Linked DNA regions of Rattus norvegicus. The protein of the gene in region 1 binds, or shares a complex with, the protein of each later gene. Links are inferred from orthologs where the notes say so. Each region holds a gene or a part of one and is shown in the gene's direction. Other genes may lie near its edges. The genes, in order: Med18, Med21, Med19, Med12, Med13, Med13l and Med31.

Evidence for each region.
Region 2: Med18 (region 1) and Med21 share a complex: the UniProt entries of both Homo sapiens proteins name them as parts of the mediator complex. The link is inferred for Rattus norvegicus from reciprocal best matches to the Homo sapiens genes MED18 and MED21.
Region 3: Med18 (region 1) and Med19 share a complex: the UniProt entries of both Homo sapiens proteins name them as parts of the mediator complex. The link is inferred for Rattus norvegicus from reciprocal best matches to the Homo sapiens genes MED18 and MED19.
Region 4: Med18 (region 1) and Med12 share a complex: the UniProt entries of both Homo sapiens proteins name them as parts of the mediator complex. The link is inferred for Rattus norvegicus from reciprocal best matches to the Homo sapiens genes MED18 and MED12.
Region 5: Med18 (region 1) and Med13 share a complex: the UniProt entries of both Homo sapiens proteins name them as parts of the mediator complex. The link is inferred for Rattus norvegicus from reciprocal best matches to the Homo sapiens genes MED18 and MED13.
Region 6: Med18 (region 1) and Med13l share a complex: the UniProt entries of both Homo sapiens proteins name them as parts of the mediator complex. The link is inferred for Rattus norvegicus from reciprocal best matches to the Homo sapiens genes MED18 and MED13L.
Region 7: Med18 (region 1) and Med31 share a complex: the UniProt entries of both Homo sapiens proteins name them as parts of the mediator complex. The link is inferred for Rattus norvegicus from reciprocal best matches to the Homo sapiens genes MED18 and MED31.

The regions. Positions count from the first base shown.
Region 1 is NC_086023.1:149,949,591-149,953,952, reverse strand, and holds the start of Med18 (mediator of RNA polymerase II transcription subunit 18), read left to right. Parts: upstream 1-1,280; 5' UTR 1,281-1,430; intron 1,431-2,150; 5' UTR 2,151-2,221; coding exon 2,222-2,294; intron 2,295-4,362. UniProt on the Homo sapiens protein: Component of the Mediator complex, a coactivator involved in the regulated transcription of nearly all RNA polymerase II-dependent genes.
Region 2 is NC_086022.1:181,294,137-181,296,763, forward strand, and holds part of Med21 (mediator of RNA polymerase II transcription subunit 21), read left to right. Parts: intron 1-2,101; coding exon 2,102-2,216; intron 2,217-2,627. UniProt on the Homo sapiens protein: Component of the Mediator complex, a coactivator involved in the regulated transcription of nearly all RNA polymerase II-dependent genes.
Region 3 is NC_086021.1:90,167,585-90,171,934, forward strand, and holds the start of Med19 (mediator of RNA polymerase II transcription subunit 19), read left to right. Parts: upstream 1-1,244; 5' UTR 1,245-1,288; coding exon 1,289-1,505; exon of another isoform or gene 1,506-1,694; intron 1,695-4,350. Other genes in the region: Tmx2 (thioredoxin-related transmembrane protein 2 precursor), read right to left, coding at 695-883. UniProt on the Homo sapiens protein: Component of the Mediator complex, a coactivator involved in the regulated transcription of nearly all RNA polymerase II-dependent genes.
Region 4 is NC_086039.1:70,464,826-70,468,455, forward strand, and holds the end of Med12 (mediator of RNA polymerase II transcription subunit 12), read left to right. Parts: intron 1-1,316; coding exon 1,317-1,560; intron 1,561-2,062; coding exon 2,063-2,206; intron 2,207-2,397; coding exon 2,398-2,479; intron 2,480-2,677; coding exon 2,678-2,721; 3' UTR 2,722-2,952; downstream 2,953-3,630. UniProt on the Homo sapiens protein: Component of the Mediator complex, a coactivator involved in the regulated transcription of nearly all RNA polymerase II-dependent genes.
Region 5 is NC_086028.1:71,670,948-71,675,522, reverse strand, and holds the start of Med13 (mediator of RNA polymerase II transcription subunit 13), read left to right. Parts: upstream 1-1,621; 5' UTR 1,622-1,692; coding exon 1,693-1,758; intron 1,759-1,882; exon of another isoform or gene 1,883-2,766; intron 2,767-3,679; coding exon 3,680-3,914; intron 3,915-4,575. UniProt on the Homo sapiens protein: Component of the Mediator complex, a coactivator involved in the regulated transcription of nearly all RNA polymerase II-dependent genes.
Region 6 is NC_086030.1:43,662,760-43,667,288, reverse strand, and holds the start of Med13l (mediator of RNA polymerase II transcription subunit 13-like), read left to right. Parts: upstream 1-1,469; 5' UTR 1,470-1,924; coding exon 1,925-1,996; intron 1,997-2,026; exon of another isoform or gene 2,027-2,916; intron 2,917-4,529. UniProt on the Homo sapiens protein: Component of the Mediator complex, a coactivator involved in the regulated transcription of nearly all RNA polymerase II-dependent genes.
Region 7 is NC_086028.1:57,335,741-57,340,369, reverse strand, and holds the start of Med31 (mediator of RNA polymerase II transcription subunit 31), read left to right. Parts: upstream 1-1,480; 5' UTR 1,481-1,536; coding exon 1,537-1,564; intron 1,565-2,454; coding exon 2,455-2,532; intron 2,533-2,805; coding exon 2,806-2,902; intron 2,903-4,495; coding exon 4,496-4,629. Other genes in the region: C10h17orf100 (uncharacterized protein C17orf100 homolog), read right to left, coding at 783-1,184. UniProt on the Homo sapiens protein: Component of the Mediator complex, a coactivator involved in the regulated transcription of nearly all RNA polymerase II-dependent genes.

The DNA.
Region 1 (4,362 bases):
TACCTATCTACCTACCAATCAATCAATCAACCTTCTATCTAATTATCTACCAATCAATCTATCAATCAACCTTCTATCTATGTATCGATCTATCTATCTACCTACTACCTATCTATCTAATGTATATGTGTGCCTAAATGTATGTACACCGTATATGTCCTGTATAGATGCCCATGGATGCCACATGAGGGTGTCGGTTCCCATGGAACTAGAGTTACAGGTAGTTGTGAGACACCTGATATGGGTGTTAGGGACTGAACCCAAGTCCTCTGAGGAACAGCAAGTGCTCTTAACTGCTGAGCCATCTCCCCGGCCCCCTAGTTATTTTATATTTTGTGTTACGAGTGTTTTGCAAGGGTGTATGTATGTGTACCACAGGGATGCAGTGAGTGATGTGGTCAGAAGAGGTAACAGATCTCCTGGAAGGGGAATTATAAATGATTGTTAGCCACCATGTAGGGATTGGGGACCTCTGCAAGAGCAGCAAGGGCTCTTAACTGCTCAGCCATCTCTCTAGCCCTAATTAATTAATTTTTGGAAAAAAACCCTCAAAATATTGTTTAAGTGTTGAATGGCTCTGCTGGAGAGATCCTTACCGCAGCCTCCTGAGGTTCTCAGATTCGGACTGTGCCTGGTCCCACGTATTTAAAGTTGTGGGTATGCATGGAAAATCGAACGAGTTTGCTGTTGTTCTGTATTAAACTTATGGCCTTGCACATACCAGGCAAGGCTCTAGCACTGAGCTGTTTCTCCAGACCCTTGAAAGCACACAAGAAAATATTGTTCCTGCTGGGGTCTATAAATACACAACGCTGTGCTTAGCGTTTCCGATTTGAAACATACTTCCCTTCTTTTTTTAAATTTAATTTAATTTTTAACTTACTTTACATCCCGCTCACTGCCAGCCCCCACCCCACCCCCCTGCCCTTCTGATCTTTTTCACTGCGACTCTTTCCCTCCTCGCTCCCCCCAGTGGCTGAGTTCAAAATTTAAATATTGTATCCAATCAGTTTCAAGAGATCTGATCAAAACATCCAGGTCGCCGAAGCTGAAAAAAAAACAAACAAAAAAATCAAAAACCGTTTCCTAGAGCTGTCCTATGACGTAAAGGCCTACAGTAACCTTCCAGTGTACCACTCTAGACTAGGACCCCAACACCGCAGCGGACCCGCACTCTGCGCGTGCGCTCTTGCACACCGGTGCCAGAAGGCGGGCGCCTTCCTTGCCCTCTCGGCACCCTTACTTTTCGGGGCGGTAGCGAAGAAGTTTCCTGTCCGTCAGCTTCCTACCGGAAGTGCTGAAGGGAATGTTTGGCGGTTTCTCTGGATCTGTGCAGGAGGGATTTGGGGGTGCGGATTGCGGGTGTGCACGCGTGGATTTAAGTCCAGCTTTGCATGGATCTGTAGCGCGAACGGAGACGTGTTGCTAGTGTAAGTGCACACGTGTCCCGGATCCCCGAGTGGGAGGACCGGTGCAGTCACTTTAACTTCATGTTTCCCGCCTGGCTCGTTTGTAAAGGCGTTTTCAAAAAGGCAGAACCAGTTCTAGTCTGATCCCGGCGTGTGCTCTCACTGAGTCTCCATGGCCTCTGCATAGAACGAAGGGTAGACAAGGTTCTTAGGTCTTTTGGTTTTTTTGAGACAGTCTCACTGTGATGCCCTAGTTAGCCGGGATTTGCTATATAGACCAGTCTAGCCCGAAGCCGCAGTTGTCTTCCTAACTCTGTCCCCGAGTGTTGAGATTACAGATGTTCCCCTAACACGACCGGCTTTTATTTCTTTATGTTTGGAAAGGAGGCCTCTCAGCGTAGACCAAAGTGACGTCACCTTTTTTGAATATGTATGTCGGTTCTTTCATTTGAGCCGCATGGGGGTGGGGGAGGGTCTGTGTGGTTATATGCCCCGGGGTTATTTTAAAGGAGCAAGAGGTTGCATAGCTGCCTCAAGGTGACATAGAAAAACTTTTAGAAGGTTCAGAACTTGAGACTAGATGGTCATTCTGGATCACCAGGGCCAGACCTCTCTTGTTTCTGCGTCACCCGTTCTTGGAACCGGCTGTATAAGCAGATATTCAAAGTTATGAATGAATGAGCTTTGGTTTCAAGGCCAGTGCCACAGAAAACAGTGGATGGACAAATGTGACTCTTCCAGGTGTATCCCGTGCTTCCCCGGTTGGAAGATCTGTTTGCAGTTCTGTCGTCTTGAACCTAATTAGAGGCATCATGGAGGCACCTCCAGTCACCATGATGCCAGTCACTGGGGGCACCATTAACATGATGGAGTACCTCCTGCAGGGTAAGTCAGCCACGGAGCATGCATTACCAAGTTTTCGTTCCTTTTCTTGTTAAAGCAAGTCAAGATGACTTACATAAAGGCAACTGCACGGTTCCTGTCACCCAGTAATTGCGTTTAGAAGAGGTTGGGTGGGAAGATGGCTCAGTGGCCAGAAACTCATTCTGTAGACCAGTCAGGCCTCAAGTGCCTGTGATCACAGGTGTGCTACACTTGTTTACTCTCTCTCATTCATTCCCTCCCTCCCCCTTCCTCTCCCCTCCCCTCCCCTCCCACCTCCCACCTCCCTTCTCTCCTCTTCTTTCTCTCTCTCTCTCTCTCTCTCTCTCTCTCTCTCTCACACACACACACACACACACACACACACACTCTCACTTTGTTTCTCTAAGCAGGGTTTTCTTCGTGTAACCCTCACTGTAGTAGAACTTGCTCTGTAGACCAGGCTGGCCTGGAACTCAGAACTACGAGGTCCACCTGCTCTGTCTCCCAGGTGCTGGCATCACAGGTGTGGGCCACCAGCACCTGGCTTTCATTTATTCTCTTTCATCTTGAAAAAGTAAAACTCAGGGCGAGGAGAGACCCTTACAGAAGTCCTTGGTTCAATTCCCAGCACCCTCACGGCAGCTCACAACTGTGTGTAACTCCAGCTGCAGAGGAGTTGATGTGATGCCCTATTCTGGTCTCCATGGATTCAGGCACACAGGTGGTTTACAGATAAACTGGAAGACAAAACACTTCCACACGTGAAATTTAAAAAAGAAATAATAAAATTAAAAAAAAAATTAAAACTCATACTGAGTCTCCCTCTCTCCCAGCTCTTTTATTTATTTTTTTCTTTTTTTTTTCTGCTCTTTTATTTTTTTTAAGATTTATTTATTTATTTTATGTATATAAGCACACTGTAGCTGTCTTCAGACACACCAGAAGAGGGCATCGGATCCCATTACAGATGGTTGTGAGCCACCATGTGGTTACTGGGATTTGAACTCAGGACCTCTGGAAGGGCAGTCAGTGCTTTTAACCACTGAGCCATCTCTCCAGCTCCTCTCCTAGCTCTTAACAGTTACCTTTCCACTGTATTTCCTTCCTTGGCAACTTAGATGCCCCACATGAGTGAGGTCCCTGGTTTTGTGACTGACTTATTTCTCATAGCATTATGTCCTTGATAACCTATGACACGATTTAGGTTGTTTTTGTTGTTTGGAAACAGGAGTATCACGTAGCCCAGGCCAACTTATTTTTTTTTTTTCAAATATAATTAAGATTTTTCTTTTAGGATTTTAAATCTTTTTTTTTTTAAGATTTATTTATTTTATGTATACACTGTCGCTGTCTTCAGACACATCGGATCCCATTACAGATGGTTGTGAGCCACCATGCGGTTGCTGGGATTTGAACTCAGGACCTCTGGAAGAGCAGTCAGCACCCTTAACCGCTGAGCCATCTCTCCAGCCCTAGGATTTTAAATTTGTATGAGTCTTTGTGAGTCAGAGGTCAGACAAGTGTGTCCAGTTCCCTGGAAAGGAATTGTGGGTGATTGTGAGCCACGGTTTGGGTGCTGGTGGAAACTGAGCCCAGGTCCAGTGCTCTTAGCTACTGAGCCACCTCCCCGACCCCTGGACTGACTGGCTCTAACATCCCTCTAACTGGCTGGATGGCCATGGACAGTTGGGACCTTCTGCCCTTCCGTCCTGAGTCTAACTGCATACATGTACTGTGCATGCTGACTGGACTGTCTCTGAGATCTAGCCTTGTTATTTCGCTTTTCATTCATTTCCGTATGGGCCTCAGTAAGTTCCTGCTTTTTGTTGCTCAATGGCCTCCAATATAAATGTATATATGAGGGTACCGAGGATTGAACTCAGGTCTTCAGGCTTGGCAGCAAGCACCTGTACCCACTGAGCCATCTTATTGGCCCCTCTTAAATGTTCCAGATTAAACATTTAAATTTTGGCCTTGAGCAATTGGCCTGTATCTTTATTTTCGGAGCCTCAGTCCTTTTTTATTTTTTTTAAAGATTTAAAATACCATTTTAAATTCTGTGCGAATGTGTTTCAGGGGACAGTATGTA
Region 2 (2,627 bases), on another chromosome or scaffold:
CCTCCTATTTCTTTATACTTGGCAACTGCTCTGTGCTTCGTACATTACTTTTTTGTTGTTAGCTTTGGTAGATATATTTGCCAGCCAGATTTTCTCAATCTCAAACTACCACCTTTTAAGAGCACTTATTTTTAGCCAGGTGGTAGTAATGCACACTCTTAATCTCAGCACTCTGGAGGCAGAGACAGGATGTCTGAGTTAAAACCAGCCTGGTCTATACAGAGTGAGTCCAGGACAGCAAGGGATACACAGAGAAACCCTGTCTTGGGCAGTAATTTTGTTTGGAATAAGTTTGGCGTATATATCTCAGTACTTATAAAAGGAAAAGGAAGATTACTCTTGCTTGGTTTTTTTTTTTTGTTGTTGTTGTTTGGTTGGTTGGTTTTGGTTTGTTTTTTTTCTTTCTTTCTTTTTCTTTTTTTTTTTTTTTTACTTTCTTTTATTGAGACAGGTTCTCATGTAGCCCAGGTTGTCCTCAAAAACATCTCTGAGGATATCCTTGAAATTCTCATCCTCCTGCCTCCAGGTCCTGGGTTTACAGGTGTGTGCTACCACCTACAGTTTAAGCAGTGCTATGGATCAAACCCAGGGCTTCATGTATGCTATGTAAACAACCATCTGAACTCTGTGTGTGTGTGTACAGGTGCATTTAACCTGTATACATTTATGTAGAGGCCAGAGTTATCTGAGGGTATTTTTCTTATTTATTTATTTATTTATCTATTTATTTATTTGTGTATTTATTTATGACAAGGACTCTCAGTGAGCAGAAAGCTCACATTTTCAACTAGATTAGCTCTCCAGTGAGAACCTAGGGTCTCTGTTGTGGATACAGGGGAACCAACTTTGTGTTTGGTGGTTTTGGTTTTAAAAATTAGCATATGGGACTGGAGAAATGGCTCAGCAGTTAAGAGCTTAGCTGTTCTTTCAGAGCATCTGGATTTAACTCCTAACATCCACATGGTGGTTCACAACTATCTAAAACTCTAGTCCCAGATGATCTGATGGCCTCTGTGGGCACTGAATGCTCATGGTCCTCATACATACACACAGACAAAACACTCATACACATAAATAAAATCAGCATAAAAATGGTTTAGCGGCTGGCAGAGTGGCTCAGCTGAGTAAGTAAAGACTCTGCCCCTAGATCTGACCTGATTTTGAACCTCAGGACCCACACTATAGAAGAAAAGAACAGACTCTTACAACAGTCATTTTTGCAATTCAAATTGACTTTGTTGTCTACTAGTTCAACCACTTTGGTGTCTTAGGATTTGTTTGTTGAGTTTGAAGGAGACATTTCCTTCTTTCTTTTTTTAATATGTATGATGATTTTTTTTTCTACATGTGTACCATGTGGGTGCCTGGTGCCTGTAGAGTCTAGAAGAGGACATTAGGTCCCCTGAGATTAGAGTTATGGCTGTGAGCTGCCATGTGGGTTCTGGAAGTTGAATCCAGGTCCTCTGCAAAAGCAACCAGTGCTCTTACCCATTCAGCCCGTGTTTTCTCTATTGCCGTTTGCGTATCTGCTGGGATGGAGAGAGCTCAGTCTCCAGAGCCACTCAGAACAAATCATTTACAGCTGAGTCTTTGGTTTTCTTGTAGTACAACCCTGGCTGGCCTTGAGCTCAGAGATCAGCCTGCCTCTGCCTCCCAGGTGCTAGCATTAAAGGTGTTAGACGACATAACCTGGCTTTCATGTATTTATTCCTTAAGCTAGATTAATACCAAATTTAATTTACCTAGATTCATATTTGTTTGTATGATTAAACCATTTAATCCAAACTAGATGTAAATAAATCCCTGAAGAGTGGGTGTTTTAGCTGCAGCCTGTGATACTGGGCTCATTTTATTTCAGACTATCCCTTTGTCTGACTGGTTTGTATGGAGAACATTGTTATGAAGAGGTCGTTGCCATTTTTGGTTCTTTTTTTTTTTTTTTTTTTTTCCGGAGCTGGGGACCGAACCCAGGACCTTGCGCTTCCTAGGCAAGCGCTCTACCACTGAGCTAAATCCACAACCCCGGTCGTTGCCATTTTTAATAAAATCCTTAACATTGACAGATCTTTGTAACCTTGACCTTTTTTTCCTTTTGCTCAAGCTTGCAGATCAGTTTTGCAATGCCATTGGTGTATTACAGCAGTGTGGTCCCCCTGCCTCTTTTAGTAACATTCAGACAGCAATTAATAAAGATCAACCAGCCAATCCTACAGAAGGTGAGCTCTGCTTAGTTTGACTGGCATTTTTTTCTACAATTTATAGCTTGTTTGTAAAAAATGTGACTGTGATTAGAGTATATTGCTCTAAGTTTTGCCATAGATTCTTTATTTATTTATTTTTTTTACATATATTTGGTGTATATGTGGGTGTGCCCACCATAGCATGCACACAAGAGATCAGAGGATCTGGAGTAATTCTCTCCTTCCATTATTTGGGTTCTGGGTATCAAACTTCGGTCATTAGACTTGGTGGCACGTGCCCTTATCTGCAAAGCTCTCATTGGCCCAGGAATGACCTTATCAGTGTAATTCATAAGCCGCATAATTTTACTCATGTCCAATAAAGATTGCTACCTCCTTAGAGGAAAGTGTGTGTGAGTTAAGCTGAAGTTTGCTTGTGTGACCTTA
Region 3 (4,350 bases), on another chromosome or scaffold:
GTTTGAGAGTCCCAGAACATGTGAGGCCTACCCAAGGTTATATTAATACCTTTAGTCCTGGTCATTGCTGTTATAGCATAAATATCTGTATATGAAAAAAAAATATTAGCTCTATGTCCACAACCTTCACGGTAAATGTTAACTGTTCTTAAATATTGCTTCTTAGATGGTTGATGGGCTTCCCCCCACCTCGTATTTTTGTAACCTTCCCTGTTTTCCTATCCCACCTCAGGAAGATAGTGCGCACAGTTGTTATGCCCAGAGCAGACGATTTTTCCACCAAAGTCATTTATTTTGTTGAGTCAGTGACCTATGTCTGCCGGTCTATCAGAGAATTGATTAAGGTTAGACAGCACTTAGTGAACGCTGTGTTACCTTGAAAAATCGCCTAACTACACTGTGATCACTTCGTTAAAAATTAGAAAAATTTAAATGGTATTTCTACCACGGGCCTAGTCTTCGTCAGTGGCGCCCCAAGGAACTTGGAATCACAGAAGAATATTGTTCATCTGTGATGGAAACCCTGGAATCTGTTTCTCCATCTTTAACACGAAGGTAAGGACTAGATAACGGCCTAGGCTCTCCACTCAAGTGTGTAAGCTACACTCGAAACCCGCCCTCCCATCTTCACATGCACCTGCAGGGCAGGGATGGATGGTCAAGGTCGACAGCTACTAAGGCAGGGGGCGCTCACCCAGTCAAAGTCACACGGGTTGCCATCTTCGCGCTGCGTGGGGAGACCGTTGCAAATCGGCGGCAGCTTCCTCACGAGGAGGAAAGCAATGGAAAGCAGGGCAGACAGAAGGCAATAAGGTCTGGCCAGCCATCGAGAAAGCCGCGGCACCGAGTACACCAAGGCAATCAGAGGCGCGAGGACAGCCATCTTCCCTGCCTACACTCTTGCAGGCTCACTCCCGCTCCCCAAATCGTCGTCCTCCGCCCCCAACAGCAAGGCTTCTATTGGGCCAAATATCAGATGCAACGCCTCCAGACCCGGATGTAGATCTCTTATTGGGTGCTATAATAGATCGGAAAATGAATTAGATAGTCTATTGGTCCTCATAATTGTCGCTTTTCTACCTGAGTCATTTTATTGGCTATTAGTCTGTGAAACACTACCTGAACAATCTCTCAGGGCAAAGGAAGTAAGTTGCCGGAAGATGGTGGGCGGAGCTTAGCGTATCCAATGATGGGAAGCTGTTAAACCAAGAGGGTGGTACCCTGTGAAAGTGCTGTCCAATGAAAGTAATTAACGCCAGATCCCGGGTAACCAAGAGCGGCGAGTGCTATGGAGAACTTCACAGCCCTGTTCGGAGCTCAAACTGACCCCCCACCGCCACCAAGCGCACTAGGGTTCGGGCCTGGAAAGCCTCCGCCGCCACCCCCTCCTCCTCCGGGAGGTGGTCCAGGCACGGCTCCACCTTCGACCGCGACCTCGGCCCCCGTGGGAGCGGATAAGTCCACGGCTGGAAGCGGTCCCTTCTACCTTATGCGGGAATTGCCAGGTGAGTAGTGGGCCAAAAGTAGCCAATCAGATAATAGTTTAGGTGACCGTTGTGGCTAGCATCCTGCAGCGCAAGGTGTAAGATAACAGGGCTACGGGTGGCCAGTGGGCAACAGTGTCAGAAGCCCTTTGGCGATTCACAACTCTAAAAGATAACTTGATTTCCCGGGGTGGGTTTGGGTTGGGTGTGAATATCTGGGACTACCTCTAGCGAGAAGTTCTGTGATCCGGGTTCTCTAACCGCTGTTTGTGACTCTATGAAAACGAGCCATTGTTTGGAACTCGGGAGACCTGATTTAACGTTTCTGGAGACAGTAAGATTTTAGTTTAAAGTCTGTCACAAACTTGTTGGTTTATAGCAAGTTGCCTTCCTCGTCAGGGACTTGGAGATTAACCCGCTCAAAGAAAGGACTAGAATTGAATCAATTCTTACATTCATAAAGTTAGTTATTCGGGAAAATTGGGGGGGGGCGTGGCTCAGTGGTAGAACTCTTGACTGCCATGCATAAGGCGCGTGTTCACAGAATCATCTCTGAGTAGGTAACATTCAAGAATAAACAAAGCCATCGGTCCTTGGACAGAGAGAAGATACTAGATAGAAGAAACTACATCAGGAGACCTGTTTTGGAGGGGAAGATGGGGGGGGGGGTGCTTAGAATATCTGAGGGGCAGAAGACACATTGAATTCAAGGAAAGGAACAATTCCAGTACTGATGGAAAATAGGTAGAGGCCTTTATAAGGCAATGTAGGTTTAAAGTTCAAGTTGAAGTCAATTTCAACATGGGGGGGGGGGGGAATGAGCTAATTTAGTGATTTTTTTTTTTAAAAAGATATTCAGCAGAAACATAAGTGAAAATGGGGTAATCAGAAATCAGTGTTCCTAAAAGAGAATGGTTTGGACCAGGACTTAGCAGTAGAGAAGCAAATGAATACAGGATACATGATAAAGGTGAAGCCTACAGAAATAAAGAACTAAATATAAACAGAGGAATTGTGGGTGTTCTGTACAAAGGTTATAGTAGTCTGAGAGTAGGAAGTTATGGAAAGAAAAAATTTGAAGAGCTAAAAATCAAGAGGTGTTCTGGATATGTTAAATCTTAGGGAACTTGTGGTACTATATACCAGCACTCAGGAGGTGAAGGCAGAAGGTTCTGGAGTTCCAGCCCAGCCTAGAGGACATGAGATCCTGCTTCAAAAAAAGAAAAATAGAAGTTCAGTTATCCCAATTAGCTATTAGCACAGTAGTTTAAAGTTCACATCAGTGAGGTGTGTACAATATGTAGCCCTTTTAGATAGATAGGTATTATATTTTATAGTTGAGGACTGAAGCATAAAGAAATAACTATATGTGCTTTAATGACAGGTGTCTTCCAGAAGTTCTCTTTTTCCTTATTTTAGTTGTTTTGCCTCACTATGTAGCCCTGGCTTGTCTCAAATTCACTGTAGACTTGGCTGGCCTTGAACTCACAGAGATCCACTTAATCTCAGCCTTCAGGTATGTGCCACCATGCCCAGCTTCTTCCAGCAGTTTATCTTTTGCATTTCCTGTTCTGATTATGCCATTTATATATAAATCAGTTGATAAATACTGAATCTCCGAGGCAAACGCTGGGTATGGTGGGATTCTGAGAAGGGGAGATTATTAAGCCGGGTTTTTACGTAGCTTACTTTTTGAGATCCATAATACATGGTTTAAGGATGGTGCTTGTATCTTTGTGGGTGTCTGTTTACTACTTTATAGTCATGCTTCACACAGGAAGCAGTGTTTAAAACTACCTGATGGTTTTCAAAATGTGTTAGCCAAAATGACAGCAATAATAAGATGTCATTTGAACTGAACTCTGAAGAATTTATATAGGCAAACAAAATTAGAAAGTTATTTTCTCAAAGGAAATAGTGGTACAGTTTTGTTGCTGTTTTCTACCCAGAGGATACGTAGATCTATCTGGATACATTAGAAATTTTGCAGGAAGATTAGTAGTTGATCAGGCTCCAAAGTTAAGTTGTAATAAAATTTGATTAGGAAGGCTAGGGATGTAGTTTAGTTGGAAGAGTACATGCTTAGCATGCATAAAGACCTCTATATTCATTCTCCATACTTGACAAACCGGGCTTGATGGTATATTTCTATAATCCCAGCCCTTGGGAGATGTACACAGGAAGATCAGGAGCCCAAGGTCATTGCTGGCTACATGAGACCTTGCCTTGAAAAGGTCCATTGGAACTGTAAAGATGACTCTAAGGTCATGCAGTTAAGGACATTTGATGTTGTCCAAAGGACCAAGCTTGGTTCCCATAATCCATATGGGAGCCTCACAATTGTATGTAACTCCAGCTCCAGGGATCCCAACACCCTCTACTGACCTCCATAGGCACTCAAATAATATGTGGCATACATCCACACAACACAACACACACACACGCGCACGCGCACACACACACACGCACACACACCAAATAGGATAAAAATAAATCTTTCAGGATAAATCAAGAGGCAGGTTGATCTCTCAGTTCAAGGCTAACTTGGTCTACCTAGTGAGTTCCAAGTCATCCAAGACTTTAGAGAGAGACTCTATATCAAAAAAAATTTAAAATTTTAAAAAATTATTAGATTCTAGTACCATGGGAATTTAAATAGAGGTTATTTAAATAGAGCACCCCCATGCTTAAAATCACACTCAAGACCTTCCACAAGCTACATAAGCACCTAAGCACTGTACCACTGGTTTTTGTTTCTAAAACTACAGAACATGAGTTCTCAGGTTTGGAATAGAGGGGCCATAATGATGTAAACAATATTTAGACTTTCAAGAAAGGAAAAAAAATGAATCTGCATAGAATTGAC
Region 4 (3,630 bases), on another chromosome or scaffold:
TGATGTCTCGAGTCTGATCCTTAGCCCTACACAAAGCCTGCTATGTCATGCACAACTGCAGTGGTAGCACGCAAGAGGTACAGGGAGGAGGTCTTCCTTGGCTACATAATGGTTTGAGGCCAGTCTGAGCTACATGAGACCCTTTCTCAAGGGGAGAAAAAGCAGTTGTACTCTAGGATGGACTAACAAATGAATTTCATGGTTAATTTTAGTCAAATCTTAGTTAAGACCTGGGCAACTGTCATGAGGCTCTGCAACATAGGATTTAGAATACTCTAGAGTGGGCTGATTAATTGTCTGCTATGGAACCAGCATTATGCTGGGACTAGAGCAAGGAAAGATAATGGAAAAAAAGTGCATAGTTCCTCACCACAAAGATTTTTTTTTTTACCCTCATTGAGAAGTACAGGTCTTACACAGAAGATACCATGAGAGGAATGTTATGAGAGAGAATGGTATGAGCAAAGCCATAATCAGGTATTCAGTTTGGTGCCAAGAAGTATAATGGGACTTGGAAAAAGGTGGGCTACTACCAGTATAGATCAGAGTCACTGGAGAAGGACTCATGGATTCAAGCTGGCCTTTGAGATAACTATGATTGGGTATTGTAGAGATGTGGAAAAGGAAGGGCATTCCAGGTAAAGGATGCAGCATGAGCCAAAACATGGGACTGGATTGAATGTCTGGAGACAGAGAGGAGCACATCTTAAATGTAGTGTGGAGTGGAGGGGGCGGGGCCTAGCTTACAGAGGGCAAGTTGACTATGACATTGAATACTGAGGTACAGCATTGAGACACAACCAGACAGGACTGCTTTGCTCAGGAAAGTGATAGGAAGGGCTTGATGTGTTAAGGGATTAGTGTAGAGTGAATGAGTGTAGGGGAAGGTGTGAGAAGACGAAGTGAGGGAGCACAGCTGCAGATTTTCAGGGATGTGCAGATTCGGGTAGGAAGGGCATATGGAGTAGCAGAACAACTGGGTGTGTTTGTGGGGAGCAACAGCAAGCATAAAAACCGTTGGTAGGTGTTTATAGAATGCTTATCGTGTGCAGACAGTTTTTCATAAGAGAAAAATAAGCTAAAACAGAATCTAAAAATTCCTAAGCATTAAGGTTATGAGACAGTAAAATGGAGTATTGTCTTTGTGTTTTATTCTCTGACCTAGAAATCGGTCAGACTCCAGAAGGGCTCCTCTCATTAGTGCCAAGAGGAATGAATACAATGACTTGTTAGTTTCTTTCAGGTCAGGGACCCAGGGTTTGCACCACCCCCTTTCTCTGCCCTGTGCTTTGACCTTTGGACCCTTGTCTTTGGAGGTTTTCACACCAGACACTGCAGCAGACACCAATGATGGGTACCATGACTCCGTTGAGTGCCCAGGGTGTCCAGGCAGGCGTCCGTTCAACTTCCATCCTGCCTGAGCAGCAACAACAGCAACAACAGCAGCAGCAGCAACAGCAGCAGCAACAACAGCAACAGCAGCAACAGCAGCAACAGCAACAACAGCAACAACAGCAGTACCACATCCGACAGCAACAACAGCAACAGCAGATCCTAAGGGTAAGGCCATGGGATTGTATCTGACACTTGGGAACCCAAGAAGGAAAAGACATATTCTTCCCATACTATCCCCAAGCTGAAATATGAGGTCGTGTAGTAAGCACTGAGCACAATGGCTGATGTGTGTTAGTACTTTTTATTTTCTTTGGTTTCTTCAGACAGGGTTTCATACTATAACTGAGGCCAGTCTTAAACTCATGGCAATCCTCCTGCTTCAGCTTTCTGAATGCTGAAGTTATAGGCCTTCACTACCATAATAGGTTCAATAATGGTGATTAAGTGGCTTCCTCCCCACTCCTTTTCATTTCCCAAGGATCATAGTGAGGGGGAAAATGGGACAGTCTCTGCCAGACATACTATTTGGTTTCCTTCAGATGTGGAACTGGAGGGAACCTCAGTGCTTCTTGGCTCCAACTCCCTTCCCCCTTTCTGCTCCCATCTTTTCAACACAAAGTCACAGCTCCATTGCTCTTCTTAAAATGATCTCTTTATGTGCTTATAGCAACAGCAGCAACAGCAGCAGCAGCAGCAACAACAGCAGCAACAGCAGCAGCAACAACAGCAGCAACAACCACAACAGCAGCAGCCACACCAGCAGCAGCAGCAGGCAGCACCTCCCCAACCTCAACCCCAGTCCCAGCCCCAGGTAGCTGGTGAACTATAGCCACAGGTTCAGGGCAAGCCGCACAGGATGGGCACATAGTCAATCCGCGCTAGGAACAGAGTGTATTGGGGTAGCATTGGGAGGTCAAGGGTAGTACTAATAGGTTAAGATGGATGGGTAAAGAAGGAGCTGGGAAGTTGGAATTCTATCTTCTACTTTCCATTTCTACCCAGTTCCAGCGCCAGGGGCTTCAGCAGACCCAGCAGCAGCAACAGACAGCAGCTTTGGTCCGGCAACTTCAACAACAGCTCTCTAGTAAGCCTGCCTCCTTCCCAAGAAGAATCTGGGGAAGAAGAGGGAATGGGGTAGGCAGAGGTGGCTGAGGTGCTGGCTTCAGGCCCACATTGTGGAGGTCCCTTTCCCTCTTCCCCTTTCCTTCCCAGCTTACCAGCTTTCCTCATGAATATGAGCCCTGATTGGTCTTCTACCCTGACAGTCTCTCATTTTTCACAGATACCCAGCCACAGCCCAGTACCAACATATTTGGACGCTACTGAGTCACCTGGAGGAACTGCTTATACACTGGATGTGGCCCAGCCTTTCTGCTTAATTCCCAGTCCCCTTCTTGGGCGAGCTCCAGTAGTGGTTGGGGTCCTTCCCTCAGGCTCCATTTTTAATGAATTTTTAGTATTTTTGTTAATGTGAAACATTGAACTGTTGGGTTTTGTATATTATTTATATAGAGCTCCAGAGCTGCTGCACTCAATACACAGAGCTTCTTTGCAAAAGAAGTGTGTGAATCTGCACATGGAAGGGTCTCCTGTGAGTGCCAGGGCAGGGCTGAACAACTCAGACTCTTCATGCCTTCCTTCCACATCATCTCCCTTACTCACCCTCTGGCCTCTGCATTTCTAAGTTATAGCTGCACTGCTGCCCTTTGGTCCCTGTTCACAAGCGACCCGCCATGAGCTCCAAGCCCTCAGTCCTTTAAAGGCAGGTTGCCTCCTCAGCTAAACAGTGTAGCCTCTTTACAACTCTCTTCCACTGGGGTATACCACTAGGAGAGGGGGCTCATTAGGCTGGAGAGAAATCTGTGGAAGCCTGTCATCCTTCCACAACACTCCAGATACTGGCTTCAGACAAGCTGAGAGTAGGGTGGAGATGCCAGTCAGTGCTTCTCAGTATGCCATCTCATGGGTACCCATCATACACCAAGCTAACCAGAGAACGTCTCTGAAGCTGACATTTCTAAAAAGTTTCATCCATGGGTATGTGATGTCATGTGACATGACAGAAGTCCAGAGTGTCTCTAGCAGGAAGAGAGAGCAGCAAGAAGCCACAGTTGTCTCTCCCTGACCTGCTGCTGGAACTCCATGTTTTCAAACAACCCACCTTGGCAGTTTCCCAGAGTGACTGTTGCTCACTCGAGATTCAAAGTTTCCTTCAGAGTCACTTTTGAAACAAGG
Region 5 (4,575 bases), on another chromosome or scaffold:
AAAAAAAAAAAGAAAAAGAAAAAAAAAAAGAAAAAAAAAAGAAAAAAAAAAGAGTAATCCAGTCCAGAATAATTGTTTGGGGGAGGGATTTAACATCATGCATGGTTTTTCTTATTTATTTGTAAGTTTTCAAATATCAAGTACCAACTGTGTGCTAGAACATTTTAAGACACTGAACAACTGTATAGACAGAGTACCAACTCTCATGATTCTTACTCTCAGAGTTCACTTGCTTCTCAAAATAACCATAGAAAGTAAGGATGGCAGTATAGTAATGTATGCCTTACATGGCTTAGCTGCTCCAGGCACTAGAGCTCAGGTTGTATTAATGTGTCACATAACAAATATAACGTTTGTTTCCCTCATTTTACAGATGAGGAAACTGAGTCACAAAGAGGTAAAAGACTGGCTTCGAATCCTGAACAGCAGGACTTTATTCCTAGCTTATTAACCACAAGGCCAGATCATTTCGTTTTTACCTTTTTATTATAACTTAAAAAGAGAGGGTGAGGTTGATGTCTATCCAGCTCTGATTTCTCTAGTCCTAGAGTTTCTCGATGTACCCAGAGGCCTTATGGAATAAATGAGAGTGCATTGGAATTTCTTTCTTTTTCTTTTCTTTCCTTTCTTTCTTTTGCCAACTTTCTCTTCCAAAGAATTCGAACTGATTTCCAAGTAATTCTGGGTTTTGAAGTGAACCTTCCTGTGCTGCACATTCCCCAGCCAGCAGAAAGCTAGGGCCAAGGCTTGGGTCATCTTAACCGGGGCATCCAGCAGATGGCGCCATCTCAGTAGCCACCAGCTGGCCGCCGGGTCCCCGGGGCTCCGAAAGCTTCCCTGCCCTCCCTCACCGCCTTCTCTCTCCCCCCCTCCCTACGGAGCCCGGCCCACGTGACCTCACGGCGGCCAATGGGCGAGCAGAGAGGGCGAGCTGGTCCCTGTGGCCGCCATTAAAGCGAAGGGAAAACCCGTGAATTCGGATTAAAGGGGGAAAAACACCGCCCGCTGGGCCCACAAAATGGGGGAGACTACGGCGTCCAGGCGGTGAGGCGGCAGGAGAGCAGACGTTAGGCAGGCTTGGCCCAGGGACAACACGAGGACAGAGCCGGAGAATGGACTGAGCCCGCAGACACCGCCACCACCTCCGCCGCTGAGGAGACTCTGGGCTTAAGGACATCGCCGCTGCCGGGCCGGGGGCCCGGGCTGCTCTGCCGGTCCTCGCCCTTCCCGCCCCTCCGCGGGCGTCCCCGGGCCGCGGAGAACCCTCCCGGGCGTCAGGGCTCGGCCTGCTCCCACTCCGGCTCTGACTATTTATCGTGTCCCTGATTGTTATTTTTTTTTGTTTTTCGTTTTTTCTTTTTTAAATCTTTTTTTTTTTTTCTGGTGGAAGGGACAGACATCCCTTCCCCTCCTCTCCAGAGAGGGACGCGCGTCCGCGGGCTCCGCAGTCCCGGCGGCCGGCCGAGCGCGGCGCGGCCCTCCCGCCTGCGGCCTCGGCCCCGGGCGGCTGGGTGCCTCCGGGCGGCGGGGGCCGCGGCGGCGCCGGGGGGCGGCGGGGAGGGCGGGCGGCCCGGCGGCCTCCTCCCCACCGCCCCCCGCCCTCCCCGGTGTCTGTGTTTCTCTCTCTGGTCGGAGGCGGCGGTAATGGCGGATGGTGGGTTGTGGCGCCGGCGGCGGCTGCTGTGAGGGACGATGAGTTCCTCCTTCGTGTCGAACGGGGCCAGCCTGGAAGATTGTCACTGTAACCTCTTCTGCCTGGTGAGTGCGGGGGCCGCGGGCGATGGGGGAGGGGGCCGCGCCGTGCGCCCTTGGGCCGTGGGGGAGGGGGTCCGGGTCGCATCCAGATGCCGGTGTCCCCGGGCTAGGCCCCGCCGCCGGAGTCGGCCTTCTCCGAGGCTCTGCGGCCGCCCCCGGGAGACAGCGTCCGCTCACCCACCGGCCAGGGCTCTGCTAGGAAGAGTCTTGCCTTTTTTTTTTTTTTTTTCTTTAAAGTCTTTCCCCTCCTCCTGTCTTGTTTTGGAGTCTTTTTCTCCATCGTAGTCTTGTCCTTAACTTGGGTTCTTATCTGGCCGGATAGTAATATTTTCTTATGTGCTTCTTGCTTGCCCCCCCTCCACCCCCCGCCCCTTGTATGGAACAGCGTATCCCTTTTCCACACTTTCCAGGATTGCCCCTGCCTGCTTCACTGCCTTTACGCCCTTCCCTTGTAAGTGGGCTTCTCTTAAACAGGACCCCCCAAAACTTATGTATTAAAACCCTCTTCGTTTTATAAGTTAAACTAACACAGGGGTAGTTTCCTTATGGGTGACTTCAGATCTTTGTGTAAAAACAGTGTTTGCCAGTTCATATGTTTTCTTTTTAAACTTTGAAAACATTTTGCCATTTTGACAATTTCTAGCCATCTTGCTTTTATTAGAACATTATGTTTTTGTGAGAGTGGAGGGGCTAGTGGAGGAGGTACTGTGGTTTCGCACTAAACGTTCTATATTTGTCAGTTTTGCTTACGTTTTAAGAATGTTTTGAGCTGGCTGTTCCTTTTATTGAACTGAAAAGTGTGGGGAAGCTGGAATTAGGGATGTTCTAGTATGTATATGTAGGTCGGCCCAAATCGGATAACACCCAATAGTTAAGACTTTTTGTCAAAAGTACCAACTGTTGCAAATATCTAGTCCTGAATTAAACGATATCCGAGCTTCGTGAATGACTTTAAGTTGGAGTGACTTTTTCATTTTTCTTGTGCTGTGGGAAATATTAAGTCTATCATAGGTAAGTGAATTAAGTGGGTGGAGCATAACTAGTTGGCAAGCGTAAACTGCCAGTCATGTATCAGCAGTTTCATTTTTGGCACCGTATGCTTTCTGTCACCAAGTTAGAGTAAAGAATTATGAATTTCCTTTGTTGAATCTCTTTCACGATATGGTAAATGGGGATCTTTAACGTACTTCTGCCTTACAGATTAGACTGGTTTTCTCGACAGTGTCCATTAATCAGCATCTCATCACATGTAGTAAGATGTACAGCAGGTTTAACGTTTCTGTCTTCCCCAACTGGATCTATTTTTGGCACTTCGGTTTTTTTGAAGATAGATTAGCACAAATCTGACAGCTCCTTGGAAGTAGTTCTTTTCCTGAAGATGTGTGCTCGTGGGGAATTAGCAGGCTTTTTTTTTCTTTTCAGAAAAACATTCAGAGTCTTTTCATTAGAGCCATGACGTCTTACGACGTTGCAATGAGGGCCTTTACTTTTCAGTTCACCAGGGAGCGACTGTGACTGACGGCTAGAGAGGAATGTAGGCTAGAGACGACAGACAGGCTTACCATCATTGTTTCCTTGGTCGGCTTCCGATATGCTGTGTTTATTACAGACTGGCTACTCACGGGCATCTTTGATATTTTATTTAACAGTTTTGTATTCTTTTCCTTCAGTTCTTGTTGGTTGAAACATTAAAATTGGCCATGGTGTTTTGTTTGTTTGTTTGTTTGTTTGTTTTTTTAATTTTGTCAACTTTCAGTTCTTAAGCATGAATTGAAAATAGTGATTTTAATGAATCAAAGACTTTATAGTGAATATATATTTATATATAAATATGTAGTAACATAATATATTATATTTAATAATCGATATTGTTTATTTGAGTGAATATACAATAATATAGATATTATGCTTTCTTTTCCTTCAGGCCGACCTGACAGGAATTAAGTGGAAAAGATATGTATGGCAAGGCCCAACTTCTGCCCCTATTCTGTTTCCGGTGACAGAAGAAGACCCCATTTTGAGCAGTTTTAGTCGATGCCTTAAGGCAGATGTACTCGGTGTTTGGCGGCGAGATCAAAGACCTGGAAGAAGAGAATTGTGGATATTTTGGTGGGGTAAAGATCCCAATTTTGCTGACCTTATTCACCATGACTTATCAGGTGAAAGCAATTTATCCTTTTTCAATGTGCCTTAGCAACGTTGTATACTTTCCCCAATGTGCATATGCTGTGGTGGGCTGTCTTGTCAGTGGGAAGCTATAAGAGCAGTTGCCATGCTCTGTTTAACCATCCTTGTTTTAGTTTCCTCAAGTTAGCCATGTAGATTACAGCCCAGCTCCCTTCTGTAGTTTCTCACAGACAGTTTGTATCTAGGGAAAGCATTTTCATTAACCTGAGAAAAATGGAATCTGGAAGCATGGTGTTTTTCATAGTTATATAATAGTTTTGAAGTCAAGTGTAACTCACCTTTGAGTCTATTTTGCTATGTTCTTTTTGTCTAACCCTGTGGGCGGGTCTAGAAATGTAACTTTGGCATATATTTTCAAAAGTATAGTTTTATTTTAATATTATTTAGGATTATGTGTTAACCCAGGGAGGTATATGCTGTTTTTTGGGGGGTGGATGGGAGTGTCTTTTAGATACTGCTTCATCAAAGAATAAATTACTAAAGACAGTGCCATCTTTATAACTTAAAGGACAAAGGTCAGTCTGAAAGTTTGCACAGAAATAGTTTATTACAAGCACATCAATATTACTTCCTTTTTATTTTCTTGACTTTTAGGGCCAAATGTACTTGAGAAAGCAACTATAGCCCTTGATG
Region 6 (4,529 bases), on another chromosome or scaffold:
CCGAACCCCTCTCACCTCCCTTTTCCTTTCCCGTCTAACTTGCTTAGTCTGTGACCAGCTAGTAGGCTGTAGCCTGTGTGTGATGAATATGGGTGGACTCTGGGTATGATGGACCGTCTGACTGGCTGCTCAGGTCTCAGTAACACTACATGTGTGCATAAAGTGTTGGGCATCCCCCTTGTAACGATTCCCTCAATAGCATCTTAACAGAAATGTGTGGCTTGAGGTCAGCAGGTCAGCAATTAGGATTTGCTTTGGACAGATTAGAAAATGAGGCATAGTTAAACTTTGTCGGGCAGGGTCACAGCTAGGCATAGCAAAGCCAGCTCCTGGCATCCTTTCTAGAGCCTTCTGAATTCAGATAGTTCCGGTGTTCAGCCACTCAGTAACTTGGGGATGCACCCGAGCTAGCTCACTAGTTTCTGAGGACTCTGCAAAGTGACCTATGTGTATGAGCCACCTTCGTTGCAGGGTTTAAGGTTTGTGGTACTTTCAAAGCTCCAATTGGTATGTAAGATTCGTCTCCCCTTTATTTCGCTCCCATCACTCTCAACAGCGTTTTATTTTTCCTTTGTTTCTTTGAGACAGTGTAGACCACGCTGGTCTGGAACTCCCAGAGATTACCTGCCTCTAAGTGCTGAGATTACAGTCATGCCCCACCACACCCCGATAATTCTACCTCTTTTCAAGTCAACTTTTTCCTTTTCTCTATTTTGGGGCCAAAAACTCCTGGAGGGCAGTCTCCTGTATCAGCACTTCTTCCAGCCCCATTACTCTGAAGAAGGAATGCTGGTTATTGACCGCTTGGAGCTGGAGGCAGGGCCTGCTCCCCACATAGCACAGTGTGAATGTGGCACCTAAGAGCGTTGGGATCATCTATGCAAGGAATGCCTGCGTGCACGCACACACAGAGTGGGCGCGAAGGGCTCCAGAAGCACGGGTGCTTTAGGAGCTCAGCGCTCCGTAGGCAGCTAGCCCGGAGCCCTGGCTTCCCGATGCCCGGGTTCGAATCCCGCGGCCCCGGGCAAGCGCCTCGCTGCCTTTGTGTCTCCGAATCCTACTCCTCCGCCCGGTGCGATACGGCCGGCGGGCGCGAGGTTCCGAGGAGACACTCCTCGGCTCGCTCCAACAGGCCCGGCCGGCCCACGCCGCGCTTCAGGCCGGAGCAGCTAATAGGGCTCGGAGGCCGCGCCGGGGAAGCCGCGGCCTCCTCGGCCCGCGACTGACGCGCGCCCGCGCCCAGGGCGGGGCGTCCACGCAGCCCCGGCGTCCCACGGCAGCCCGCACCTCTTTCTCTCCCTCCCTGGCTCCGTCCCCGCTCCGAGAGGGCCGCGCTCGGCTCAGCAGCGCCTCCCGCGAGCCACCGCCGCCGCCGCGGCCCCTCCCCCGCCCCCCGCGCGGCCGGCGCCCGTCACGTGACGCACCGCAGCCAATGGCGGGCCGAGCCGCGGTCGGCGGCCGCCATTGCTGTCAGAGCGAGCGAGCCCGGGGAGGGAGGAGAAGCGCGGCCGACTGGGGAGGAGGGGGGGGTGGGGAGGAAGAGGAAGGAGGGGACGGCGCTCGGCTGCCGGGGTCGCCCGCTGGCTTCGTCCGCACCCCCCCCTTCGCGGGCTCGCGCGGCGGCGGCGGCGGCGGCGGCTCCGGGCGGCTGCGGGGCTCGCGTGCCTCACGCGCCGGCGCGGCCGAGGGCGAGTCGCCCGCCGGCTGGAGATAAACAAGGCGGCCGACGAGGCGGCGAGGCGGAGGCGGAGGCGGCGGCCCTGCGCGACAGAGGCGGGCGGCGTTGCCGCGCCGCGCCCCCCGCTGCCGCCGCCGCCGCCCTCGGGCCTCCCGCGCGGGCCTCGCGCCCCGGTGCCCGCGAGCCGCCGCCCGGCCCGGCCCGCTCCGACATGCCCCGCTCTGGCGGCCGGGCTCGCGGAGGACCATGACCGCCGCGGCGAACTGGGTGGCGAACGGGGCGAGCCTGGAGGATTGTCACTCTAACCTCTTCTCGCTGGTGAGTGGCGGGGCGGGGGCCCGGGTGGGGGGCGCGACCTCCCCGCCGCGCAACTTTCTCCTCCCGGAGCCCTGGCGGCGTCGGCGAGCGCGGCGCCCGGCGTGGACGTGCGTGTGGAAGTCGGGGCGCTGCGGACGCCGGGGCGCGCTCGGAGCGCCCACCTCCGTGGCAATCACACCCCTCCCCTCCCCTTCCCCCTCTTTTTTCTTTCTTTTTTTTTTTTCCTCCTCCTTCCCGAAATGTGGAAGGCTTCTCCGCCTTGTGCAGCCGCCGGCGCCGGTGATCTGCAGGCTCGCCCTCTCTCTCCCGATCGGATCGGCCGCTCGCCCGTGTCTGCTTTCTGAATTTTTCTTTCTTTCTACCTCCCTCTCTCTCTTTTTAAATTCCACAATGACACCTGCGATTTCGCCCGAAAACAGTTGATGGAAGGCGATGGTGTCAGGCAAAGGACTCTGGCAGCTGGAGCTCGCGCGGTTGTAAACACGGACAGCCGCCCGCCTCTCGAGGCTTACTATGCCGGAGAGCGGGAGAGCCGTTGCTCGGAGCCCACGGAAGGTGGAGGAAGCTGGTGCTCCTCGCTCTCCTCCGCTGCCTTTAAAAACTGTTTTCTCTGCCTTAACAAGGAACACACACACACACACACACACACACACAGACACACACACGCGCGCGCGAGCAACAAGCTGGGCGGTTTGATAACATCGCTTTTATCTGCCTTCGCCTCGCCTCTCCCGCTCTCGCCTCTGATAATTGACAACTTTTGCTTTGGAAGTGCATCGCCTGCCTTAATCTCGAACCATTTAGGGTGTCAATTGTTCTTCTGGAAGCCTGGCACCGGGTGGCGGCGGCTCGATTCATCGAAATTAAAAATGTATAGGGCTCCAGCAACTCTTTCCTGGCGGTGGCAGTGACATTTGGTGGTAAATGCCATCTTTGCTTTTTATTGGGTCGTATTACCTAGCTCTGAAAACATTCGCGTTGTTAAACCTGGCGCTTAGACTGATAATGGGAGTGCGTGGTCTTTAAATACGCGCTTTGTGCCTGAGTTACTGTATGTGGAGCTCTGTGCCCCGGAGAGTAAGAATTTGTTTAAATATTGAGCAAAGATTTGTAAACAGATGTAAGGCAATTATGTTTCAAGTGTAGAATATAATTGGAAAATTGGTTGAACGGCCTATTTAATTTAGCCTTAAAAACTGAACTTATTTTAAGTTGTGTGCCCAATTTTGGTGGGGGAGCGTTATGGGTGCTGCCTTTTGGAAAGCATGCGTTTATTGCAAATTATTTTCTGGAACCCCTGCTGTAGATAGAAGCTTTTTTTCCTTAGTCCCTGTTTACACTGGATAAATAATTTAGTGTTCAAATTGTAATTAGTTACATTTAATTATGGGTGGCATAGATGTTTTTTCTCCCCTTGGAGATTAGTGGAGAAATACGAATTGTTGCCAACTTTGGAAGTGTCATTCTGTTTTCATGCCGATAAAGAAATCAAGCATGATTTTGGCCTACAAAGACTGAGTGACACAGTACCCCTGCTTCCACTCTTGTAAGCAGACTGATTGCAGGTCACCCCGAATTTTATCCAGAGGCTGAGTTTCAAGATTCAGTTAGCAGTTGGGGTTCTTCCTTTTACTACTGTGGGAATTTACTCTTGATCTTTTGATGTGAGATAAAACTACTTCTGCCTCTTTTTTCACCCCTCCACCCCCACTTCCCCTGTTTGTCATTTAGTATTAGATTCAGGGACCTTCATAGATCAGCAAATGTATTGACTAGCAGGGTATTCCCCCCCCCCCCCCCCAATTTGTCGACTGGGCGATCACAATGACACTTTTACAGGTAATTAAAATAACCAAGTCAGCCACGTTAGTTGGCCACATTACTGTCATCACGCTGAGCAGCAGTGCTGTGTGCATGTGGCTAATTTATATACAATGTGTTGTGCGGGCAAATGCAAGCCTGCCCGGCTGAACAGCCCAACTCTAGGATCCTTCCTCATTTCTCTCAGCTTCAGCGAGTGAGGGGGTAGAGAAGAGATTCTTTGTTGAAGATTCTGAACTTTGATTTTGACTGCATTCTGGGTATTTCTCCCCTAACATATTTAAACCAAAAAGTTGACTTTGGAATATAAAGTACAATTAACTTTTTGGGTGACTAATTTTGGAATGCAGAAATTGGTTTAGATTTAGATTGGTTTAAAAATGTAGACTGTTTATATGGAGGTGGATAAATGGTGTTTAATTTTTAAGAACTTTATCTTTATTTTATAAGCACTGATTGTTGTTTGGCTTCCTTGTGTACTTGTGTGAGGGTGTTGGATTTCTTGGGGTTGGAATTGGAGACCATTGTAAGCTGCCCTGTAGGTGATGGGAATTGGACCCAGGTCCTCTGGAGGATTAGCCAGTGCTCTTAACCCTGGAGTCATCTTTCTAGCCCTAAAATTTTTAAAAAACCAAACCTAATAATAAAAGAGACCCGGGGCTGGGGATTTAGCTCAGTGGTAGAGCGCTTACCTAGGAAGCGCAAGGCCCTG
Region 7 (4,629 bases), on another chromosome or scaffold:
TACCACAAGATAGATACCTTATCTTTCACAGGAATACAACAGAACATCGTCTTACTTTCTCTTCACTTGAGAAGATCTTAGTCTTTTCCACTGCTATAGCCGACAAGTTCTGACTGGTACCAAGCATGCTGTAGGTACTCAGTAACCATCCTCTGCCAATCTCACGCCCCAGACCAAGTGTCATGGCTGCTTCTTCACGTTCCCTCCCAAGATTAGTATTTTTTTTTCTCAATTGCCCTGCCCTTATTTTTCTAATAGCTCCTGACCTATTTTTTAAAGTGTAGATGGAATACTGTGTATAACAACTTAACACGAGAAAACTTATTATGAAATATAAATATTATTAAAGGGTAATTAACAATTTGTGAAAGATGATGCCTTGCTCTGTAGGTTTCAAGCAGGTATATGATCAGGCCAGTAGTCAAGAAACATGACAAATCTGGCCCCTCTTCGCAGATTTCAAGTCGTCAACACATTCTAGAGGGACCTAAGACTATAAAACTTACCTGGTGTAGAGACTCAAAGAATCTCTTTGTCCATCGTCTGGGTTTACACAGTACTACAAATCGGAAACCTTTCTGTGCTGGCTTCAGGTTAATAGTACGCTGGGTCAACAGCAGGATGGACTAAGGTGCTGCAATGTCAATACATGTTAACAGTGCCCAGAAACCACAGCCTGCTTCTTACACTGTTTTATGGGCTGTTTCCATGAAACCAAAGATACTTGGCTCTCCTGGAAGCTGGCTGGCAATTCCTCAGTCCTGGCTAAGGACCATGGCACTTCATCGAGTCATTCTGGCACTCTGCCGAGTGGCTTGCTTGTCTCGCCTGGCTGGGCTCTCTACGCGGTGCACAGTAGTCTCCACCCGCAGGGATGACGACGCCCTGACGTGGCGGGAGGACGTTTCCATGCACTGCGAGGAGGTTTCCACGTGCTGGGAGGACACCTCGAGGAATTGAGGGAGTCGCTTCGCGGAGGGGGTGAGGGAGGGTCCCTCTCGGTGGCGCTGGGAGGTCTCCACTTGCCGGGAAGACGTTAGAACCTGCCGGGAGGACGTCTCCACGCGGTGGGATGACGTTTCCTCGCGGTGGGACGACGTCTCCATGCGGACAGTCGATGTCTCCTTGTGGCGGGTGCTTTCCACTCGCGGGACGGAGGACTTGCTCCTAAGGGGCGAGGCCATCCTGCCCGTACACTTTGGTCAGGAGGAACAAAGAAGCCCAAGGATCATGCTCTGCGTCACGCCACCCGGGGGAAGGTGACGTCAGAGAGGTGTATTACATCAGAGTAGGCAGCAGGACTCAGACCTGAAATCAGAGAAGCCCTCCGGCACGCCCCGCTCGATATCTGCGCGCGCAGTCGGCCCGGTCCGCACAGATGGGCGGGGCCACTCTTCCCCAAAGTGAAGTTGTCCCCGCCCTCGTGTCCCACTCTGCCCCGCGACCGGAAGTAGGACCCGTGACTTCCGGATTCTCCTTCACCAATCCGGGCTGCGGTTGGGTCGGGTTGGTAGTGTTTGCGCCTTTCTGCTTGCTATGGCCGCGGCCGTCGCTATGGAGACAGGTGCGTTGTGTTTTGCACGGGAATGGTCCTTCGCCCCAAAATCCTCTCCCGTTTCCCTTCCCCTGCGCCGTCTTCCGGGCTCAACTCCTCATCCTTAGAGTTGGGACCGGCGGAGGAGAAGGCGGTGTTGCCCCCCAGAATATGGCCTGTAGGACCAACTTTGCTCCTGTGTTGCTCTAACCCCTACTCCAACCCTGACTCGCGGGGCGGGCCGGGGCGCATAGAAAGGACTGAGACCTTCCACTGTCTGCTCTTTGGAACTTCTCCAAACTTGCCTGAAATGTCGGTAACCTGTGTATTCTAATGCATATCACCGTCTTCTCTCCATTGTTTAATCATTCCTGCTTCGTTTTTGTGTAGCACTTTGTTTTTGCTTAACGTAATTAGTTGTGGTTATAACAACATAGGGAACCGTACAGCTATTGCAGACTATCCGATAATCTCCGCTCACGTCCTTCCACAGTGGCGTACAGGTTCTACATATTTTTTCCTCAACGAACTTTAAAGGATTTTTTTATTACTATTTTTGTTTTGGAAACAGGGCTCACTAAGTAGTGAATTAAACTAAATTTCTAAGGAAGTTTCTTCCACACTTTGATATTTGAGTTCATTCATGAGTGTGCATGTGTGTGTGTGTTTATGGGGGTGAGCGGCGGTGCATGCCAAGGTTAGAGGACAACTTGCAGAAATCGGTTGTCTTCCTACAACCCTGTAGGTTCCAGGAATCGAACTCAGGTCATCAGACTTTGCAGCAAGCACCTTTACTTGCTGAGCTGTTTGACCTGCGTTTTATTTTTGTTTCTACAAATCAATGTTTGTATTGTGACTTTTATTTTGGGTGATCGTTCCTTCCTTCTTTCTCTTTTTTTTTTTACTGTCTTTTCTCCTAGATGATGCTGGAAATCGACTTCGGTTTCAGTTGGAGTTGGAATTTGTGCAATGTTTAGCCAACCCAAATTACCTTAATTGTAAGTTAAGTACATCATTAACTTAAGTAGCTCACTAGATCTTAATGGTTTCTGAGAAGAGATGCAATTTGTAATAGTATTTATTTACTTCGATGTGTTTGGGGTTTTACTTGTGCTGGTCTGTAAGTATCAACTGAGCAAACAAGGGCTTGTGTTTTTTAATCCCTTGTGTTTTGTCGGTAGGGATGTTAAGAAGAGCTACTTTACTTAAGAGATTACAGATCAGCAGCCCAGCAGTGGTTGACATACAGAGTGTTTCTTTGTGTCTTTCAGTTCTCGCCCAAAGAGGTTACTTCAAAGACAAAGCTTTTGTTAATTATCTTAAGTACTTGCTTTACTGGAAAGAACCAGAATATGCCAAATATCTAAAGTAAGTTTAATTTTTAAAATCCCAAAGCTGTGTGTACTTTATTATAAATACTAAGTGCTATTATTTAGCAGTTTTCTCGGTGTCAGAATGGAAAACAGCATTTGGGATCTTTCTGCTTTTAGTTGATGTAAGACGCTGTTATCTCTAACTTGGGTTGATTATGACAGGAATTTCATTTATTTCTGCTACCATTCTTACCTCACTCCCTTCAAACAAAACCAAAGAACTGTCTACGTGGGAGCCAGCTTACTCTCTTGGCAGTGTAAGTCAGAGCATACTGTTCGTGCAGGCTAAGATCCAGTGAACTGTTGTAGACTACAGTTCTAATGTAATTTGGTCGTGTCTAACCATGTCACTTAGCACTGCCCCTGTCTTTCTGGGGTTTTGAGGCCTAACAACCCATAACCTGTGACGGTAGGAAGAACTGTTTCCTGAGAGTCTTAGAGGTCCTGCCTTTCTTTGTGGTGTCCTTTGTTTCAATCACTGTGCGTATTAACTCACTGTAAAAGAACAGACACAACAATATCACATCAAACTCTGCTTTGACTTAAAAAGAGAAAAGAAAGCCAAGCTGGCTTTAATCCCAACATTTGGGAGGCAGAGGCGGGCGCATGTGTGAGTTCAAGGCCAGAGCTGCTTCCAGGACAGCCACTCTACCCAGGTAAACCCTGTCTAGACACTGCCCCAAAGGAGGGGACAACAACAAAAACCCCAGAAGTAGCTTGGTGTCCCTTTAATCCCAGCTCTCAAGAGGCAGAGTCAGGCAGATCTCCGTGAATTTGAGGCCAGCCTGATTATGTTGCAAGCTTCAGGCCATTCAGGGCCACACAGAGAGACCCTATTTTAAAAATTAGAGGAAAACATTTCAAACCTTTTTTTTTTTTTTAATCGTAGTCATTTTTCTGACTTGATTCCTGGGCTGCCTGTAGATTTGCTCTTCATGATGCAATTCTAGATTCCTCTAGGAATCCAAATGATAGGCTTGAAATTACTATTAGAAAAGTATGGGGTTGGGGATTTAGCTCAGTGGTAGAGCGCTTGCCTAGGAAGCACAAGGCCCTGGGTTCAGTCCCCAGCTCCGAGAAAAAAAAAAAAAAGAAAAAAAAAAAAAGAAAGAAAAGTATAACATGTTACATGTTAGCAAACTTTTAGCCACCTTCAAGCTCAGTCTCTCCAGCCCAGCTGTTGAAAGATGATTGTCTCCGCTCTGTTGGAGGCTCCCTATGATCATAGGTCCCTCTACTATTAGAGGCAGCTTACTCCATTGATAGCCAGAGGTAAGGGAGCTCTTCTTATATACTCTGATCAAATACACCTCCTTGTAGCTCTAAGCCGTTTGTAGGCTTGTTCCTTATTCTGTTCATCTGTGTCCTCTTGGAGGTAACAGCTATAGATGTTTAAATTCGAGAGAAGTTGTGAAATAACTCCACTATATCTTGCATAATGTTCTGAATAACATGGTAGGAGTGATTTTACCAAAGGTACCATAGTAGTAGAAATGGTGGGCTTGAGATCATTTTTAGGGGAGTATCTGATTTAGAACTTGGGATGCCTTAAATTATGTTGATAATTGACTTATGAACTTAAACCCAGGTACCCTCAGTGTTTGCATATGTTAGAACTGCTCCAATATGAACACTTTCGAAAGGAGCTGGTGAATGCTCAGTGTGCGAAGTTCATTGACGAACAGCAGATTCTGCACTGGCAGCACTATTCGAGGAAGCGGA